Linked DNA regions of Kluyveromyces lactis. The protein of the gene in region 3 interacts with the protein of the main gene of each other region in a pairwise test. Links are inferred from orthologs where the notes say so. Each region holds a gene or a part of one and is shown on either strand. Other genes may lie near its edges. The genes, in order: MAM33, GRX5 and KLLA0_F03839g.

Region 1 (6,530 bases), on a different chromosome or scaffold from region 3:
ATTACTAATCTTGATAAGTCTATCAAAGTAGGACCAACTTCGGACGATGATACGAGCATTCTTTCTGTCGCTAACGATAAAAGATTAATGTATACTATACTAGGTATATCTAGACCTCAACTAAAAAATTCAATATTGGTGGAACGCGATGTTGCGAAATTTTGTAAGAGAGGCCAGTTGCAAAAGGCTTTATTTCTTATAAAGCTTGCTGGACCAAATGGTGCAGCTGGAATGAACACATTAATGACACATTATCTAGAAGTTGAAAAAGATAGCCATTCCGCTGTGGATTTATATTCTTGGAGAAAGAAGTGGCAAATACCTCCCAATGAATACACTGAAACAAATTTGTTCAAAGGGTTGGCAAGGTTGCCAGAACCAATTTCTGTCAAAGTTGCAGAACGAGTGGTGAAGATAGTTTTAAAATTGGTTGAAGATGAAAGACTCAATAATATAAATTTTAACGCTGCATTAAGTGCGTTGGCGAACTCTAACGACCCTAGTTACCTGTTCAAATGTTTTGATTTGAGACCCAAAGGTATAAAAAAAGATGCAATTGCGTACACGCAACTACTTATTGGATGTGCGAAGATTACAGATGCAGTGGAAGCCATTCAAAGGGCTGATGATATAATGAACTCTGCTGACCCCAAAGTTATCGATTCACAAATGTTTTTTCATTATTTGAACGTTTGGCACTCTAGAAGGGATCTACGATTTTCCAATTGTGTGTTGCCTCTGCTTGATATATTCTATGATTTTAAGGTCCCAAATGTTCGTTTCAAGAAAGAAATACCAGAATTTGTCAAGTTGCCTGCTTTGAAGAATTGGAATATCAAATCTAAAATGCGTTTGACTCCCCATGTTGCACATCTTTTAATGGAAAATTGCTTTAAGACCGGACAATACGAATATGGTATCGCTTTCTTCGAGCATTACCTGGGAAAAAGACCAAACCTTTTCAACAACAGAACAATAAACGCTGCGTTGAACTTAATTATCAAAGCAGATCCGGAGAACTGTGGAGAGAGATGTTATGAGCTACTTCGTAAGATGATGGATGATGGTATGTTGCGGGAACCCTTACAGCACGTCGTTTTAACTTATAAAGCATTTGAAAGACAGGCTACTAAAAAGCTAAACAACAGTGATCCTGTAAAGGCGACAGAACTTGTAAAATCATGTCTTGCACTTATGAAGGACAATGAAGCAAAGACTTCGATTCAAAATGATGAGTACAAGAGCTATTTATCCTGGAAACCATGGATGTTCTTATTGAGAATTGTTATGTCATGCAAAGACGCGTTACCTTTGACTTTCAAGAAAACGATAATAGACGAGTTCATTACCACAATGCTCTGTGATCCAGTAATGTTGTTGAAGCAGAGAGGAAGCACTCGAGAGAGTATGCGTTTTGTTTATCTTGAAGCTGTACGTTTTATAAAATCATTGGAATCATCTTTGAATTTAACCGATGAAGAACTAAAGGAAGTGCAAGCTGAAGCGGAAGATTCAAATTCTTTACTTAAAAGAAAATTTTTGTTTCGTAGGCATCTAATAAGATTAAGAAAGAGAATCCTAGAGGTTGTGGATAACCTAGAACATGATAGGGATTCTAACAGCCCCGAAATCGAAAAATTGTTTAGACAATATTGTGAAACAATATTGGACACCAACATTGATGACTTTTCACCAACATAATTGAGATGCCTCCTGTACATACTAAACCAATGAAAAAGGCATCTCACTTGGAGGCTTGTCTTTTGCTGGCTCTGCATTTCAATAATTAAACTATTGCAAACGGTGTAATAATCAAAGGTACCAATGGAAAAGACGATAGGTACATTATAACAGATATTACATAGAGCGATATATAATGTACAAATTTGCCTTAAAAATCCATAATAAAAAAGGTAAGAGAAAAATTATGTATATACAAGAGAAATGTTGATAGAGGGATCATAAAGCTCAGTGATCAGTAGTGAAGTAAAACCACCAAGAGGCAGAATTGTTTTTGAATGAACAAATACTTCTGTCTTTAGTCATATTGAAAAAGAGTTATTGTTGCAATTACTCGAAGAACTTCTTCATTTTCGACAACCATTGAATGTATTCATTATTCTCCTTGAACTCAGAGTAATTAGAAATGAATGAAGTTAAATCGGTGGTGATACCTCTGGATTCCAAGTAAGATTCCAAGGACTCTTGCAAAGATTCATCCAAGTTAGAGAATGGAGGACCGTGGTATCCCAATTCTCTCTTGATTTCGGCTTCTGCTGATTCATTCAAAGCATCTTCTGCTGATTCGTATGGGGTAACGGAATCGACGTAGAAAGAACCTTCTTGCATGTTCATCAAAAGCTCAAATGAAATTGCTGTGTTGTCGGAGTTCTTCACAACGACAATGTTGACATTGGCAAAGTTATCAGACATACTATCGAAATCTTCCTCCAATTGTTCTTCAGATTGTTCTAAAGCAGCTGGTTCGACAGGCAAGTTAGCAACTTGAGCAACGTCAAAGAAGACATTGATAGTTTCATCGTTCAATTGTCTTCTAATGTGAGCCAAGTTACGGCCTTCTTGAACGACAGGCTCAAAACCGTACTTGGACAGGAAAGTAGCCAATTCTTCTGGCAAGTCGACAATTTGTTGAGAAGTTTCTAATTCGACTTCGCTGTTTAAAACTTGAGCAACCTTCGTAGTATGTTGGTTGAAAGTGGTAGCAGTATAGGAGAGTTGACGGGAAGATGTGATAAAGGTTGGACGAGCAATCACATTTCTGGCCACCTGGATGGAAGCTGGACGAGCAGCAACACGGGAGGCAACACGGGTAATCAAACGTAGGGACATAGTATTCTATCAGGGGAGGGGGCTTATCCTATAGGACTGGTTTGTTTTAACCCTTAAATTTGGATCAAATAAGCTAGCTCATCGCTTGAAATATCACAGTTCAATATAAGAGCTTATAATCTTTCCAGAATTCTTTTTCCTTTCAGCTCTCGATCCTAGAGTGTGGCAAAAAGAAAGTATATCAGGGTAATGAGGTGGATGCCCTTTTCATATTTACCCGCACGTTCAGCGTCACGTGAATGAGTAAAGTGTAAACAAGCCAATAAAAGAGGTAAAGACGCCATCCGGGTACAAATTGCTCGAACAGTTCTAAGGGCGGACCCTGGTACAGATACAGTGCGTTGACTTCTAGGCGTACGTAATTTTCGCTTTTCGTTTTGTGAGTAGTGGTAGCCTTTAGTTTCCGAGTTATTTCACTACGTTAATTTCTTCGTTTCAGCTTGCAGAAAGATGTTCGAGACCCGAGTCCATTTCTATTGAAAATTCTTTTCTTTTGTGAGGGAAGCGAACTTTCGAACCGTTTTGGTCACTGCTTTCCGTGCTAACATTCTGGATCAAAAGTACGAAATTTTTCGAGCCTTAGTCCCATGGTAACTCTCGCATTACTATTTGACAAATGAACGTTTACTGATCAGAGTGTGTTTAGGGCAGAGAGGTAATGTCCGTTTCGACCGTAGTCTCGAACCGGAACAATGATCAACGCCTTGGTTTTCCCGAGAAAATTCGTGTTCGTTTTTGCAAGAGCACGGAGGACAACATTCATTGTCAGTTCTAAGAAAGAAAAAAAAGCCAGTTGCAAATAATTGTAACGACGTAATTTACTGCGCAAAAGAGCCCCATCTATGATTATGCTCATGATTGAAATTTATTCCCAGGATTTTGCTGTGGTGTGTTATGCAGCCATCTGCAATTCTTCTATTAAACTACTTTTCACAAGTTGAAGAGTACAAGTCCAAGAACATACTCTCAGACTAGTACCCAGGGGATCTAGATCTTTTGACTATTAGCATATTTTTCGGTCCTTATTATACCGTTCTTTCGGCTCTACTGTTGATTTCTAGATTTGTGTCTTTTTTTTTGTTCATACATTTCACAAAGCAACAGAGTGTCGTAATTAACCATAGAAACTGCTTCTTCATCCGTGATATCCTTGTAACATGTCTTGACAATTTGCGGTTCTTATTCAACAAGAGATGAGTATTGCTTGGTAAAATTGCAATCGGCATGAGGGTGTAAATAGTTTAGAAGATTTATCGCATATTTTTCTGAGTCCTTTGTTTTCAGTACCTTTCTGCCTACATAAGGTGTCTTTTCAGGTAATTTCCTACAGATGAAAAGTAATCTAATTAAGTAGCAAGGTGTCTGGTTCAACCAACGAAGTGGGCATTACTATATCACATATGCATTTATGTAATTCGACCGTATATCACGTGGATGTGCGTGCTAATTGTTGTTGTTGTTGTTTTTTTTTCCATTGGATATGTTTCTCGAATGCATGCATCTGTGTATCCTTATGCAATCCTCTTCTCAATATCTTTTTTAGAATTTCTTTTCTTTTCGGTCAAGTGTTTTCTAATTCGTAATTTCTAGGTCTAGTGCATTATTGAACCAAATAGAACAGCTTCCAACATCTTCAGCTATCTTTTAACTTTGTTCGAATCACTGCTTTAACGAAGACACCAAATAAGAACCTATACCAAGACAAAACTGTCAAATTAAGCATACAGAAAGAAAGTACTTTGTTAGTAATAGGGTGTCAAATCTAATCTATTTATAATTTCGAAGAGAAATGGAGTATATAGACACGATGGGCACCAACAAACAACAGGAAGAAATCCAACTCAAAGAACCTCTTTCGTTTTCAAGGCCTCTCGCTAGACCACCATCGATATCTGGATGTACAGAGTATAAAGATCGTGATTCAATTCAGAGCAGCTCATTCACATCGGAAAGTTCATCAGTTCTAAGTTCGTCATCCACTTTGATCGATGATAAATCGTCGAATTCATCGTTAGCATCTCCTGCCCTGAGCGCAAATTACAAAAGAAATTCAACGGAGGTACTGCCCGAAAAGATTCTGATACATGCGTCGACTTTCCCTTCAGCATCTGAACCTTCGTATAGTACATGTACACCTTCACCGTTGTCAGCATCTCATAGAAGTTCCCTTTCGTTTTCACGGAGTAGATCGCGGAGCATAGCAATGAAGTCCAATAGCTTGCCCGCTATTCCAACAATATGTCCAAAAGATCTCCGATTTCCTAAACATAAAGACTGCTCGTTTATTAGCCCTGCGGACTTGCACCATTATATTGAAAATATGGACCAGAATCCCAATGAAAAACTGATAATATTCGATACAAGGCCGTTCATAGAGTTCAACAAAAATCACATCAGATCGGCAATGCACTTGTGTCTTCCCTCGACTTTACTGAAAAGGAAAAACTTCAATCTGGAAAGGTTGATAGGTAATCTACCTTCCCCAGGAAGGGAAACTTTATCGGAATATTTATTGGGCAGTGACAGCGCCACTGCAAATGCCAAGGTGGTTATTTACGATAATGTGGCAAACCAGACAGATTATGCAGTATCATTGGCATGTTTCGGAATATCTTCTAAGATCCTCGATCATGTAAGTGACAAACAAAAGCCTTCTGTTTTCATTCTCGCAGAAGGTTTTGAATCATTTAATGCAGCATATCCTGATGACGTCGAAGTTGGTACCATGGATTTGGAAGACTCTTATACCTTAGATTCCCCATCTTCCCCTCATCAGGCAGACAATATTTCTCCAGTTCAACCGCAGTTGAAACACTCTGGTAGATCTCATTCGCATTCTTGTTCTCCTTTGAAACAGCCACCACAAACCGGTAACAGTAGGACTCTATCTGGTTCCCCAATATCCACATCATCACCATTATCATCTTTGTTTGGATTTAAACTGCCGGCACCGATAAATAATCAACATTTACCAACTTTTAAGTTACCGCAGATTGAGCATGACATTTCCGATCTAGATAATTATGTGAAGGCCGTAGAGATCAATGAACGCTCTCAAAGAAATTCTTTCTTAGAATCAGAAAATGACCTAAGATCCTTCAAATTTCCTGCTTCACCGTCCAAACAGTTCAGTACCGATGCGACTTCGTCATCATTTACTTCAACTCAAACAGCATTATCGCCAGCAGATCCTTCTAGTGGCCACAATTCATCTAAACTAAATTTCCAAGTTAAATATGATAACCTATACCACAGATTTGCTTCAGAGGAGATCAATCAGGTAGTTCCTTCCTGGTTCTGCCAATTAATGGACATTCCAAAACTGCACTTTATATCTAAGTTCCAAAGATTGGAGTTATTAGAAAGAAAAAGACTTCAGAGATTATTGGGCCCCTCATCGTCCGCTTCAATTGTCAGCACTCAATCTCGGTCTACTGTAGCTGGTAACGACAGATGTGTCGAAGATGGTCATTATGATGTTGATGAGGATGATGCTGAAGAGAACTTACAAAGCATCACAATATCATCTGGGGTAGAATTTGGGACGAAGAATAGATATAAGGATATATTTCCTTATGAGCACACAAGAGTAAAGCTCTCGCATTCTAGTATATGCAGTGCTGGCTGTGAGAATTCAACCCCTTCCCCGAGATCTTCCGCATATAGTTCCTGTGCTAGTG
Region 2 (6,502 bases), on a different chromosome or scaffold from region 3:
CGACGTAGTTACGGATGGCAAAAATACTACTTTTACGAAAAGGCGACGTTATTATCGCACATTGAAGTCTAGAGCTTTGATACTTCTTGAGTTGAAGTTCTGAGATTTACGTAATCCATTTGAATAAGTCAATATAGTAGAGGTGCATTAAATCACTCTGGTATATGCTGTATATCAGCCGGAGTAATTCTCCAGTTGGAGGCACCCTCTACATTACAAGCTTTATCAAGCCTAATGTTGATTTTCGCTACTACTTAGATTGCCATGGTTTTTTTTGAACGTCAATGCAAATTAGTAATGCTCTTTTCAGGCATTGTACTAAACCTTCTCAGCAAGACCCACAAGTTGGCAACTGATATTGATTAAGTGGGTGATATTTCTTATATGAATAATGTTTTTTATATGTGTGTTAATGGTACGCTCCAACGTATATAAATGCGGCATTTTACATATTTCATCTCCATTCCCCTAAATTTCATCTCATCTTAATTAAAAGCTTCCTATTTCTTTCAATTAAAGGTTTAAACAGTAAGGAATATCAATAGTTAGTGTTCAGTGTAGCATTGCAGTCAATTGATTATCCACCAAAGTTTTTAGTACATCGAATAATAGAAAAGCATGCCATCTCCAAGCGACTACCGTTCTCAATTGCTTAATAACGTAGCCCTAGGATATGGTTTGATGAGTTTCACCTGGAGAGCAGAACCTATTGCCCCAGAAGCTGCGTCCAAAACCTTCAAGAAAGTTCTTGAATTTACTGGTGATAAAAAGGCGTTGTTCAATGTTGGTGAATTCTACGGTGAACCTTTGAGCAACTACAAGTTGTTGCAATCCTACTTTGACAAGTATCCGGAAGATCGTGAAAAGGTAATTATCAGTGCTAAAGGTGCTGTTGACTTGCAAACCTTGAGCCCAGCCGGTGATGCTAAGAGTGTTAGCGCATCTATCGAAAACACTCTTAAAGTGTTCAATGGGTATGTGGACATCTATGAGCCAGCAAGATTGGACCTTGAACTTATAAAGAAGACTGGTGAATCGGTTTTCCCTCGTGAAACATTTGACACCATCGTTGAATACGTCAAGAAGGGTAAAATTGGTGGTATTTCATTGAGTGAAGTAACCGCTGAACAAATCAGAGCCATTCACAAGGAGTATGGTGAATATTTAGTCTGTGTTGAAGTCGAATTGTCCATGTTTTCTGCTGAAATTCTCTCGAACGGTATTGTCGACACTTGTAACGAACTAGGGTTGCCAATTGTTGCCTACTCTCCATTGGGTAGAGGTTTGCTAACTGGTGCTTTGGCCAAGAGCTCTGATATCCCAGCAGGTGATTTCAGAATTCAATTGAAGAGATTCCAAGATGACGCGTTCGCTCACAACAAGTCTTTAGTCGAATTTTTAGAGAACGAAATTATCGCTAAAAGATCTGATAACGTCACTTTACCACAAGTAGCAATCGGATGGATCCGGGCTATCAGTAAGAACTATCCAAATACTAAAATTATTCCTATTCCCTCAGGAACAACTGTGGACAAGGTAACCTCTAATTATAGTTTCATAGAATTATCTGACGAGGAACTAGCAAAGATTGACAAATTTTTACAATCTTTCAAAACTGTCGGTGGAAGATACGAGATGATTCGTTAGATATTATGTTAATGATTCCATGATTTTACGAACTTGTCAATATGTCACGTACCAGTGTAGCTGAATATATCCAAACAAATATAAAAAAAATGTTATCATATTCTAAGAAAGCAGGTATGCCAATGATATCGCCATGACATAGGATCAGCAACCAACTATAGAGCGTTCTATTTTATTTCAGTTTCTGTCATATGTTTCTGTCATTTCCACTGACACTGAAATAATACTAGTAGAAAAGAATGGAAAAATTATTAAAATAGGTAAAAAAATTCAAAGTTAACAATACTTCTTTCACATTTACTTTAATCATTTGAAGTATTGAAGTCTGGTAAAATTGGTATCAATTTGGTCTTATGGCCCAAGATAACAACTGATGTTCATCTCTGACTATCATACTGGCTTCTGGTGAGTTATCTATACACTATCTCCTTGAAGTTACGATAATGAACATAGATCAAAAGTATAAAATTACCACATAAGTCTCAATGGATCATTATTCCGTTTTGTCATTATGGTAATGGTCTATCAGAGTTGGTAAACAGAGCATTTTTCTCATTGTGTTTTAGTATATAGCCAGAGGAAGTGTACGTTATGAGATGGGATGCTACTACGAAGGCAGTCTTGCTCAGTTTTTCAAGGCTGAGAAGCTCGAAGTTAGACTGTTCATGTGATCAGTAAAAAGATCATAAAAAAGGACCCAGCTCAGCAGCGAGACTTCTATGAACGATACTTTTTCTCTAGGTTCTACCGAACCATCGTCTTTCTTTATTTGAGTGATTTCACGTAAACGGGAACTTGTCGTGCCTGATGTGCATTTTTCTTTATGTCCATCACTGGCGGTGCAGTAATGTGTTCGACTGGATTGTTTAAGTACTTCCGACTGAGGGCGTTACATGCATTAGACATTTTCTTTGAAAACGTTTACGATTTTTCAATGTGAATTCACTTTCACACAAGACGAAGAACAAACTTGCACGAATTTGGTGACAGAAATTTACAACTGCCACCAAATTTTAAGATCTTAACTTCAAAAGAGCGGAGTTTGTGAATACAGTGTCCATTATTCACAAGTCTAAAGGCATAAGATCATATTTCCTCATAAAATCAATTATAAATATTGCAGCTTGTTATAGACATACATAGTTTTTTGCAGCCAGAGTTGCGCCGAGTGAAATGTACTTAATCTTCTTCTTCTGGGACCAAAGCATCGGACTCTTCCAACAGTTTAGCTAATTCACCCGTTTGAGCCATGTTCATCACAATGTCACATCCACCGACAAATTCCTTGTTAACGTATAGTTGTGGGATGGTTGGCCATTCGGAGATTTCCTTGATACCTTCACGTAACTCAGGGTCTTCAAGTACATTGTAAGCAGCAAACTTCACTGGATCGACACCTTGTTGACCTAACATATTGATTGTAGCTCTAGAGAATCCACATTGTGGGAATTCTGGAGTGCCCTTCATGAATAAAACCACCGGTGCTGATTCAATAGCATCTTCAATAGCTTTCTTTGTCTCTTGTGATATGAATCTTTGGAAACTTAGATGTGATCTGAAAGCAGGACGTAGGAGCGGACTCTTAGTGGCCAAAAATCTTGAGAACATTGTTGGTATTGGAAAACCTGAGCGAAGCGATTTTAACTGTGAGGCTAGTTTACTGGGCTTGAAAAAATATCAATCAAACGTTGGAAGGAGTATCGCAGTTCAGTATTTCAGTATTTCTTTATATGTTGGTTAGAAGTGAAATATCGAATTATAAAGTTTCCGAAATGTTTAAGCCGAGTGACTAAGAGGATAGAGGGCAAAAAACTGAAAGACGAGTTGAGAAGACAGTACAAAACTATGAATTCAGTGAATGGAGTGGGTAACCTTGAATTACTTTGGCATCAAAGAAGAATCGTTAGATATTCAGAATGTTTGGAGGCCAAGTTTAAGGTGAATAAAGACTGTGATGAGTAAGCAGCACGTGACATGGTTCTTTGCAATGGTTCACAAATCCCGATATGAACTGAAAGTAAAACATTTGTGCAAGAAACCAGCTCGTATGGCGCAGTGGTAGCGCAGCAGATTGCAAATCTGTTGGTCCTTAGTTCGATCCTGAGTGCGAGCTGTTATTTTTTTGCCCCTTCTTCATCCTCATCGAGGGCCTCTTTTTTTTTTTTCATGACGTTCGGTTTCTAGGAGAAACAAATCGAGCAGTAAATTGTAACGATGTATATCCCATTATTTATATGACATTAGAGACGTGATTAGGTAGAAATGAAAAGTGAAAGCGTAAATTGGTATTAGAATATTAACTGAATTAATGTAATGTGGTGTAGAAGTAAACTTGAACTGAAATTTGAAGTAAATGAGTGGAGCAAGGAACTTGGTAAATTAGAAGAGACAGAAAAAAAGAATGAAAATAAAACACCCCATGAAAGATGTGGTTTTATTTATTTTAATGTCATTTAATTATGCAAATTCGAATGAACAATCTCCGATTGATGGTTCTTGTAAAGGTTGCAATTCTAACTGTTGAAATCTTTCAGCATGTTCATGGTAGTAGAACCCCAGAATGTTACCAAGTAATTGATCGTGTACTATGTAGTAGTAGCCGTCGTAAGATGCACCATCTATTGATTCCAAATCGGCATCAGGCACCAGGAATTTCTCATTCCACCTCATGTAAAGGAACCTTTGATTCAAGTAATCGGTATGTGAGTAAGTACCATCGATGATAGATTGTAGAATATTCTTAGAAGGATACTTTGGATCGTTTTGCATGCAAAGTTCTTTGAAAGATGGGAAATTCAACCAATGCTCCAAATCAGTCTGGTCCGAGGCCTTATAGGACGCATAATCTATTGGGATATCTTTGGATAGAAACCCTAGAGAATCCGTTACGGTGATGGATTCGAAGAAAGTGGTGATCTCGGGATTTTGTACCGTGAGACCCTTTATAGAGAGGAATCCAGTCAAATGAGGCGAGCAACAGTTGGATTCGTTATCATTTGGTAAAGAAACAGATTGGATAGTGATCATGACTTGGAACTTCTTGTATCCCGAGAGTTGGTACCCAACAAACCGTTTTCTAGCCCCTAGCCAATGAGTTCTTTCGTGGTTCTTGGGAGTCTGAGGTCTCGATCTAGGAGGCGAGTTCAAAGATGGTGAGCATGAGTCCTGGATATCGTAATCCTCCGAATCTTGAAAGTTTTCATGCGAACGCCGTATCGAATTGATAGAATCGTGAGACCCAGTTCTGTGCAGCGAAGTGTTCCTGAAATATGGGTTTCTATGGAAAAAAGGAGTCAAAGGCGCAGGGAATGCTATAGGTGATTGCTGTTTTTGCTGTTGCTGTTGCTGTTGCTGTTGTTCCTGGGTCTGACCCTGACCCTTATATGGAGACGAGCTACTCGCCTTGGCGAGTTGCGTCTCCAACCCAGAGCTATGCGAACGTGTATCTTCGTTGATCATCTGTAAAATGTATGAATGTATCTTGCCTTACAACTTGTAAGTTGTAACTAGTTTTCTAAAGCAAGTAACTAACTCACTTGACAAAGGCAATCTGCGATGAAGCAGCGAACAGATTAATACGTCCAACAATAACCACTCGGTATATATACATATATATAGTAATAATAATAATAATAACTATCTCAATCAAGAAGGTAATATAAAAAGCATCACCAGGCCACCTTTAAAAAGCGAAGACCAGATCGACATCGATAAAGAAATAAGAAAAAGAGATAAAAGGAAAAGAAATAAAACACGGCAAAGAAACCGACAATGAAACACGCGGAAGAGGAAGATTTCCAGTTCCAACCATGACTCTATCCTATCAACTGGACTGGGAAAAACCAATGAACAAGGCAGAGACAGAAGTAAAATGGCTGCATAGGTGAAAGGAGTGACACATAATGGAAAAAAGTAAAAAGAGAGTAAATGTGTTCAGGAGTGAATTATGATCGAGGTGCGAGTCTGGTGTTGAAGGAAAAGAAACGGGGGGAAATATCGAAGAGACTGTGCACCGGTTTCTGGGCAAAATACCCGGAAAAACCTTTCGTTTTGGATTTTCTTTTTTTCCGGCACCAAGTTGGAACAGAGAGGTACCCAACGAAATGGCGGAGGAAGAATCAAAGAAGGACCAAAGTTCACAAAAAGAAATACGAGAGAATGTTGCTACAGGGGAAAGGAACATTCACAGACATAGCCCGATCCGGTTTGTTCCGAGGTGCGGGTAACAACTTAGCGCAGCTAACTCTTTCTTTCTCTACGCTCGGTGTATGCTGTCAAAAAAGTGTGGCTCTTCTAGTCACGTGATTACTGTTATAACGCGCCCGCTTATGTTACCCGGATATATGTATATTTGCTATATTTGTATTTTCGCCACCGTTCAACGTTATTCCGGGTAACACAATGGGTATCTCTCTCATCGTCAAAAGATTTTCTCGTCACTTCTTCCACATTCAGACTGGAATTTAAAATAAAATCTGTATACCATCTTTTCACATACGTATCTATTAAATGATGCACTACTACTTGTTGCACGTATTATCGGAACTACTCTTTTTCAACTTTATATACTTACTGATTTATGTATGCCTTTTCTAATAATTAGTTAGTTAGTTGTCCTTTGTCCACTGGAATCTGCCGTCGATAAGCAATTCATAGTTAGAAGAGAAGTGCTCTTTCTTACCAAGCCAATCCCAGCTGTAACTCTCTAACCACCACCATGAATGCTCAAATCAGTAACCTAGTCATCATGTTGATCATGATGCAAGTATCTCGTCGTTTGGATATGGAGGATCCTTCGATCGTGTTGTACATCCGTATCGCTTATGTCGCTTCTGTTGCCATCACTTGGTCCATC
Region 3 (7,844 bases):
TCAAAGACTCTATCGCAAGACCTATCTTGAAAAGGCTATTTAGAGTTTACGCCCATATCTACTGTCATCATTTCAACGAAATTTTAGAACTCAATCTACAAACAGTTCTCAATACAAGTTTCAGACATGTCTGTCTGTTCTCAGAAGAATTCCACATCTTAAAGACTAACGACTATGGGCCTTTGCTTGAACTTGTAATTGAATTTAAAGATAGGTGAGAACGAATTCCCATTTAAACCGTTCAAAATCAAATGAAAATAGCACTTGAAATGATGGTTCATCAAATCCACATTCGTAGGTAACATATACATATTTTGTATAAGCATCACCCGCCTTCCTTTTTATAGTCTCTCTTATTTTAAGATCTGTCGTGTCTATGCGGATAACTCCGGTTCAGTTTCAACGATAAGGAAACTCAGATTGTGAACAATCTTATTTTACACATAAAAGATGAGGTACAATATATGAAAATCTTGCCTTAATGTCCTGATATAAATATATTAGCGAACGTTAGTTACGAGTTAAACAAGTCAGCCGCGTGTCCTGGGCTACTTTTCAATTGATATACAAACAATGAAGCTGGCTGATTTTGTCACGTACGTGTTCGGCAGCTTACTCGCAGGATTGGTTACATTGAAAGTATTGTCATCCTTCATACCAAGTTTGCTAGTAACTCTACCAGCGAAAGTAAGGTTACGTGTTAATAACTCACTTCTAAAATGCTCAAACAATTTGAACAGGATTCCTGTGCTGGATTTTGGTTGGAAGAACTCCTCTGTTAGAAGAGCCTTTATTTTAGCTTCTGAAAGGCCATCGGATTATACAAACAAAATATATGGCGATAGGGTTCATATAGCATACAATGATAGAATAAAGAGAGAGTCATTCGTTAATAAGTTGGGTTTTGATTCAAAGCGTAAACTCTTAGGGTTTTTCCATCCTTACTGTAACGCTGGTGGTGGTGGAGAGAAAGTCTTGTGGAAAGCCGTTGAGACATCGCTAAATCAGGATAAAAACAATATATGCGTTATCTATACCGGAGACACAGATGTTAATGGATCAGATATATTGAACAGTGTGCGGAGAAGGTTTGAATACGATCTAGATTCGGACAGAATAGTATTCATTTTCCTACAGAAGAGAAGACTGGTAGAATCAAAAAGTTGGCCGAAATTTACGCTATTAGGCCAAGCTTATGGTTCCATCATTTTGTCCATTGAAGCGCTTACTACACTTGCTCCAGATTATTGGATAGATACAATGGGATATCCTTTTGCTTATCCCTTTGTATCTTTGTTTGCTAGGATTCCAATTGTAACGTATACCCATTATCCTGTCATCTCAACAGATATGCTACAAAAGCTAAAAACTATGCCAGGATTTCACACAAACTTTAAACTGATCGGTAAATATGTCTACTGGAAAATATTCATGCTCGCATACAAATTTTCAGGCTTATTTGTTGAAATTGCATCGACTAATTCAACTTGGACTTATAATCATATTAAATCCATCTGGTCCTCAACAAAAAATATTCACATTATTTATCCACCATGTTCCACAGAATCATTGATAGAAGGCTGTGACAAATCAGATCCAGTTAAAAGACTAAATCAAGCGGTTGTTATTGCGCAGTTTAGACCAGAAAAAAGACACGAATTGATATTATCTTCCTTCTCTTCTTTCATCGATGCTACGACTAAGAAAGATTTGATTCCTAAAATAATATTTATAGGATCAACAAGAAACGTAGAGGATAGGGAATATGTTGAAACGCTGAAGAAGTATGCCTTTGAGGCACTTAAAATTCCAACCCATTTAGTGGATTTCAAAACTGATTGTAAATATGATGATATGAAGAGTATATTATATTCTTCATGGTTTGGTATAAACGCAATGTGGAATGAGCATTTTGGTATAGCTGTCGTGGAATATATGGCAAGTGGTTTGATCCCATTATGTCATGCTTCTGCTGGACCTCTTTATGATATTGTAGTGCCATGGGATTCAAAGAAGAATGAACAAAGTACTGACAAAGCTAATGAAACCGGCTTTTTCTTCATCGATGAAACTGATCCGGATTTTCTAGCCAAAGATTCTTCAAAGTATAGTTCTTTACGCACGTTATTTGCTCAGGTATCGAAATTGAATACTGTACAAAGAATTGATATCTCAAATAGAGCCAAGATGTGCTCTTTATCAAAATTTTCTGATTCAGAGTTTGAACGTTCATGGAACGAGGTGTTGGAGGAACTCAATTTGACTCATAATAGAATGTTCAGTTGAATTTGAATTATATAAATTGTTACATTACTTAGACAATGAAGTAAAGCTATAGATGTTTCGATATCAGTTCGTATATGCACTTGCTTTGAAAACATGACATCATACTTGTTACAATTTTGTTTCGGAAGTATTAGCAGAGAGAGGTGACATGGTGCCATTTTGGCGAGATTACTACACGTTATTCTTGGCAGAATTTTCTAATGAATATTGGCCTGATTTACGAGGATTTTTAGGGGTTAAAAACTGCGATGCTTTGTTCATTGGCTCGATATTAGAGTTGTTCAAAGTGGTGTTACCTGTAGTTTCAGAAAAAGCGTGTATCTCGTTTTCTGTCCTTGGGGTTGCCAGAATCGAGTCATTGTTGTCAACACTAGCTCTGGCTGCTTGGTTGCCTTGTGGTGTAGAGTGTGTCAATACCGATTTATTATGTGAGCCATCCAAGTTCAATTTTTCTGTGACAAATCTAGCTTTTTCCACAGGATTGGAGGTAGAAGTTAGCTGTTTAATATTGTTGAACCAGTCCATCATAGATTCGTAAGAATCTGTTCTGAAAACCCAATTATGACCTCTGTGGATAATCCCGTTTTGTTTTGTATGCAATATAAACTTAAAGTCTGAAGATCCTTTCTTGGAATGTTCTGCAACAGTACAGTCATTCAAAGACAACGATATTACGGGAATCAAGTCTTTCTTCCTATCACCGGATTTAAACTCATGCAAGAAACTTGGAGTTAAGACATAGAACCCACGAGAATATGATTTCAAGAATTTGGATCTTCTTTCGAGAATTCCAGATTTAATCTCGTACGTGAATGGATCATTTTGGTTCTTGTAAACAATGTCTTTGACACGTCTCATTGGTAAGTTAGGATCGATGAAATTTGGGTCCTTAGCGACAAAGTTTTCCCATTCAAAGACAGGATCTTTATTGAAAAAACCAGTGTCCAATTTGGAAATCAAAACGTCAAACACTATCTGAGCTTCTTGGCCTAAAACTTTAGCGTAACTGGTCAAAGCGTTTTGAATTTCCATCATAACAACTTTTTCCAACTCCCTACCAGAAGTTTGTAAATTATTAAAAGCTTCATGCAAGAAATTCTCTTCGGTCAACTGTTTCTTGATTTGTTTTTCCAAAAGGATCTTCGCTAGGAAAGGATCCTGTTTCACAGATCCGTATTTAGAATTTTCCAACGATTCCTGGAAAGCTTTTAAACGAATTTTGGTTTCCTGAAGTTCCTTGTTACATGAATTTTTGAAATCTGACTCTAAAGATTGAATTTCTTTAATTTTCACCAATAGATCACGTCTCATATCCTCTAATCTGGGGATCACATCTTGACTCAATTCCTTGGAGGCCTTTGATGCTGCATGGACCATTTGCGTATGGTACTGATTAAATAAGGTGGGTAGATCCTGAATAGATCCGTGCCCTAGAGGCAAAAAGAATTTTTGAATGTTCTTGTCCTCTGGAGTGGTAGGTTGATGTTGGCTATCAATGGTGAAAAATGGGAAGTTAATTGCATGCTGCAATCTCAAATGTTGTCTTACAACTTCATCTTGGATGGAAACCGTTTCTTGTAGATATACAAGAAGTGATCTGATAATACCTCTCCATGCTGCAAATCTCTGAGAGAGAACTTCTGTAGGGTTCGCATTAGTAGGCATCAATACCACCAAAGGAGATCTGGGATCCTGACCGTTGGACCTATGTCTTTGCAATGAAGCCCTGTTTCTGCTAACATGCGTATGCGAGCTAGTCAACGAATTCGTCTGCTGCTGTCTCTTGGAAGAATTCATTTGAGGGAAAGAAATTCCTTCTTCAAGACCAGTTGCATTTGCATTCCCTTGAACGCCAACAACATCCGCTGACATGGATCCTCGCGGTTGGTTCACATCGATAGATATGTTATCGGTCGGATAAGGAATTGTCTGGCCAGCAACCGAAACTCTGTTGTTAGCGCTAGTTCCATTCAATCCGCTTTGCTGGAAATTCTTGTAATCAGCAGAAGTCAAACTTCTAGATGGTTGCTGTTGCAGCTGCTGCAATTGCTGCAAACTGTGTTGGTTTTGCGAAAGCATATCGGCTATACTGCTAGTCATAGTGTTTTGTTTGGACATCTTATCACTCGAAAGCACAAATCAGAAGTAAACTATAATGATGATGATTATGATGATAAAGTCTGCGATAGCCCGGCTTTTCTCTTTTTTTTGTAGCTAAAGGGCTCCTCCTTCTTTATTCCTTAATAACTACTCAAACCGTAATTATCTCCAAAGTACCGAAAATACCTCGCCAGGAGAAAACGCTTTCTTTAACGTTCTATCGTATCAGTTTCTTAACAAAGGGAAAATGGAAGCACAAATCCCTAGTATTGTACTGAACTTGAGGTCCTTGCAAAATTTCTTAAATAATTCTTCCCAGTTTCAATTTTAATTGCAATTTCAAATTTTTGTTATTTTTAAAGCTGGGCTCCCAAAACTTCCTCTAAATATTACTGTACTTGGTGATTACTACAGCATTTTCTTATGATTTTTTTTTTTTCCATTTTTTGCATTCGATGCTTCTGTGAGATAAAGAAAGGTTCAATACATATGGATGGGGTTGGAGAAAGGATGCTGTGGATCCTGGTGGTGTAAAGCTTGCAGATAAGGGGTGTGAAAAGCTAGGACGAAGACGTCAATGGCACTGTCCAGGATAGATCTGTGGGAAGAATGATATTTAGTAGTATATATTACCATGTATTGACGTTTGGCCCTGTACAGAGTGATGAGGATATTCTGCTTCAACTGAATCTCCTTGTATCCATAGGCATTTTTTTTGTTACGTGTGGCATACGTCGAAATCAACTGGCCGAAATGGACGGTATAGTAGAAGTCCTATTCGGCTAAACCGTCTCTTCAACTGGATACCTGTGTTCTGCTCTTTGTCATGTTTTCAGCCACCTCTTTGAAGTGTTGTGTGTAACACCTGTGTGCATACTGTATTTGTTGCTACTGGGGTTCCTGCAAGATCTCTGAGCGATTTCTCCGATCACACAGTTACCTCTTCCGATTAATGACACGTGACACCGAAATATCGTTTTCCCTTTCTCAGATTTTGTTTACGTTTCGTTCAATATGACTATTGAAATCTCGAATTGAGTAAAGTAATGAATCAAGTGATTGACATATCAGCGGATCAGCAGGCAAGGGACTGATATCCAAAGTCTTTACTGTACCCCCGGCGAATCATTTAAATTCAAGAGCAGAACGTTACTGTTCCAACATTATTCAAGAAAAATAGCTCTGGAAAGCTACTGTGGGAGTATCTCTCAATGCAGTATTTCACCAAAGATGCGTCCATGGTGTATACGTATGATGGGATACAAAAGACGAACGCGGGCAATATTAAGCTGCGACGTTTGAAAACATCATCGATATCTAGATTGTTTTCAAGGAGCAAAACTGCACGTCTGCGTAACAGAGGCACAAGGAACAAACAAGCAAAATTTGTAGGGTCTGATTTGAATAAATTAGAGAGGTTCATATATTCAGAGAGATTCATGCCATGTGTCATATTCGTTATCTGTATAGTGACGCTACTGCATCTGATACTTGCCCGGCTGATTAATATGTTTCAGGAAATGGTCAAATATTATTTCTACGCGAACCTTTTCGGAATGGGCTGGGATTGGTACTCGAAATGGAACTGGATAGTTTTACATATACTTGAGAAGTTCGTATAGCTTCATATAATAGATCGCATTAATCGATGTTCTCTCAGTAGTTACAGTGTCTCATGTTAAGCACCATGAATCATACTGTAGTATCATATTTAATAAAAGGCATTATAGTGCGAAAATGCTTACAAATGAACGTCATTGTTTCCATCCTAAAGCCGCTTAATACAGCTTAATGAAAGAACATACAACTGACACAGACTCGTGGTGACAATTTTCCTCACTTTGATCTGAGAACATTTCATGTTTATATTTATTCCATCTTATTTGTCCCATGCGGTTACTCTATGTGTCAAAAACACTTATTACCCGGTACACAATATGAATTGACAAAGGGTACATGAAAAAATGTGTCAATCTGAGCTTTTGCTTCTTGAAATATGAACGAATGTTAAAAAATCTCCGGTATTGCACAATACATACTATCTTCTCATTCATCTTGGCGTTCTTTCTTATATTGTACTTCCATTTTGAGTTTCTCTTTTGAAAACAAGTGCATGCACGTACTGGCTAATTCAGTTGGCTCTAATTTGTCCCCTGTTACCCCTATATTGTGGAAACTTTAACAAGAGCTTTGTCTGTCTTTTTGTTTTAATATTGTGTGTGTGTGTTTTTTTTTTTTTTTCATTAATATCTAACTACTGGAGAGATCGTTTTGAGGTTGACCAATATTTAGTCAATTGTGTGTCTTTTACCTAATTTTTCAAGCGGTTCCATCTTCGGCGCATCGTTAAACTCATCCCTGCCAAGTGTATGCTTTTCAATTTTTACAATAAAACTTCGGCTGCTTGTAAATCTTTACCCGCTAAAGCTTTATCGAACGTTAGATATTTCCAAACCTCTCCTATATCGAGAAAAATGCCACTTCCACCTGTTCTTGAATCACGTCGTCCCAAAGAATCTCCGGAATTCGACTATTCTACACTTTCCAATTACAAGTCTTTCAAGGTAAAGCATTCACAGTTGGATGTTAGCGTTGATTTCAAAAAGAAAACCATTAGTGGTTCTGTCTCTTACGAGATTGAAAAGGTGAAGAAGGATGAAAACACTATCAAGTTGGATACTTCTTACTTGAAGATCTCTAAAGTCAAAGTGGATGATGAAGACGACGTGAAGTTTAAATTGTTAGAAAGAAAACATCCATTGGGTGCTCAGTTAATTGTTAGTCCATCTTCTTTGCCGGAAATATTCCATTTGTGCTTACAATTTTCGACAACTGCAGACTGTACAGCATTGCAATGGCTTGATGAACACCAAACATCTGGGAAACCGTACGTTTTCTCTCAATTGGAAGCCATCCATGCGAGAAGTCTATTCACATGTTTTGATACCCCAAGTGTAAAATCTACATATCTCGCCAACATCAAGTCTGAATTACCAGTTGTGTTTTCGGGTATCCAAACAGGTTACGATGATTCTACTAAGGTCTACTCTTTCAAGCAAGAAGTACCAATTCCAGCATATTTGATCGGTATCGCATCAGGTGATTTGGCCAGCGCTGATATTGGTCCTCGTTCCAAAGTTTACGTGGAACCTTATCGTTTAAAGGACGCCCAGTGGGAATTTGATGGTGATGTTGAAAAATTCATTACCACTGCTGAAGACATCATTTTCAAATACGAATGGGGCACCTACGACATTTTGGTGAACCCAAACTCATACCCTTATGGTGGAATGGAATCTCCAAACATGACATTTGCCACACCGACTCTAATTGCCCATGATAAGTCGAACATCGACGTTATCGCACATGAATTGGCACATTCATGGTCTGGTAACTTGGTCACAAACTGTTCCTGGGACCATTTCTGGCTAAATGAAGGTTGGACAGTGTATTTAGAA

Evidence for each region.
Region 1: the proteins of KLLA0_F03839g (region 3) and MAM33 interact in a protein complementation assay, tested with the Saccharomyces cerevisiae proteins (2 studies listed by BioGRID). The link is inferred for Kluyveromyces lactis from reciprocal best matches to the Saccharomyces cerevisiae genes SLM1 and MAM33.
Region 2: the proteins of KLLA0_F03839g (region 3) and GRX5 interact in a two-hybrid assay, tested with the Saccharomyces cerevisiae proteins (2 studies listed by BioGRID). The link is inferred for Kluyveromyces lactis from reciprocal best matches to the Saccharomyces cerevisiae genes SLM1 and GRX5.

Annotation. Positions count from the first base shown.
Region 1 is NC_006039.1:672,076-678,605, forward strand, and holds MAM33 (Mam33p), read right to left. Parts: upstream 2,851-6,530; coding exon 2,071-2,850; downstream 1-2,070. Other genes in the region: MRX1 (Mrx1p), read left to right, coding at 1-1,701; tyrosine protein phosphatase PTP3, read left to right, coding at 4,640-6,530. UniProt on the Saccharomyces cerevisiae protein: Not known. Binds to the sorting sequence of cytochrome b2.
Region 2 is NC_006038.1:833,018-839,519, reverse strand, and holds GRX5 (monothiol glutaredoxin GRX5), read right to left. Parts: upstream 3,256-6,502; coding exon 2,827-3,255; downstream 1-2,826. Other genes in the region: KLLA0_B09658g (pyridoxine 4-dehydrogenase), read left to right, coding at 619-1,647; glucose-induced degradation complex subunit VID24, read right to left, coding at 4,105-5,106; SND3 (Snd3p), read left to right, coding at 6,365-6,502. UniProt on the Saccharomyces cerevisiae protein: Monothiol glutaredoxin involved in mitochondrial iron-sulfur (Fe/S) cluster transfer. Receives 2Fe/2S clusters from scaffold protein ISU1 and mediates their transfer to apoproteins, to the 4Fe/FS cluster biosynthesis machinery, or export from mitochondrion.
Region 3 is NC_006042.1:361,520-369,363, forward strand, and holds KLLA0_F03839g (SLM1 family PH domain-containing protein), read right to left. Parts: upstream 4,405-7,844; coding exon 2,458-4,404; downstream 1-2,457. Other genes in the region: MOB1 (Mob1p), read left to right, coding at 1-218; alpha-1,2-mannosyltransferase ALG11, read left to right, coding at 574-2,286; KLLA0_F03861g (uncharacterized protein), read left to right, coding at 5,598-6,008; LAP2 (bifunctional aminopeptidase/epoxide hydrolase), read left to right, coding at 6,756-7,844. UniProt on the Saccharomyces cerevisiae protein: Together with SLM2, acts as an effector of the TORC2- and calcineurin-signaling pathways. Phosphorylated and activated by TORC2 under favorable growth conditions. Mediates actin polarization via inhibition of calcineurin-dependent transcription.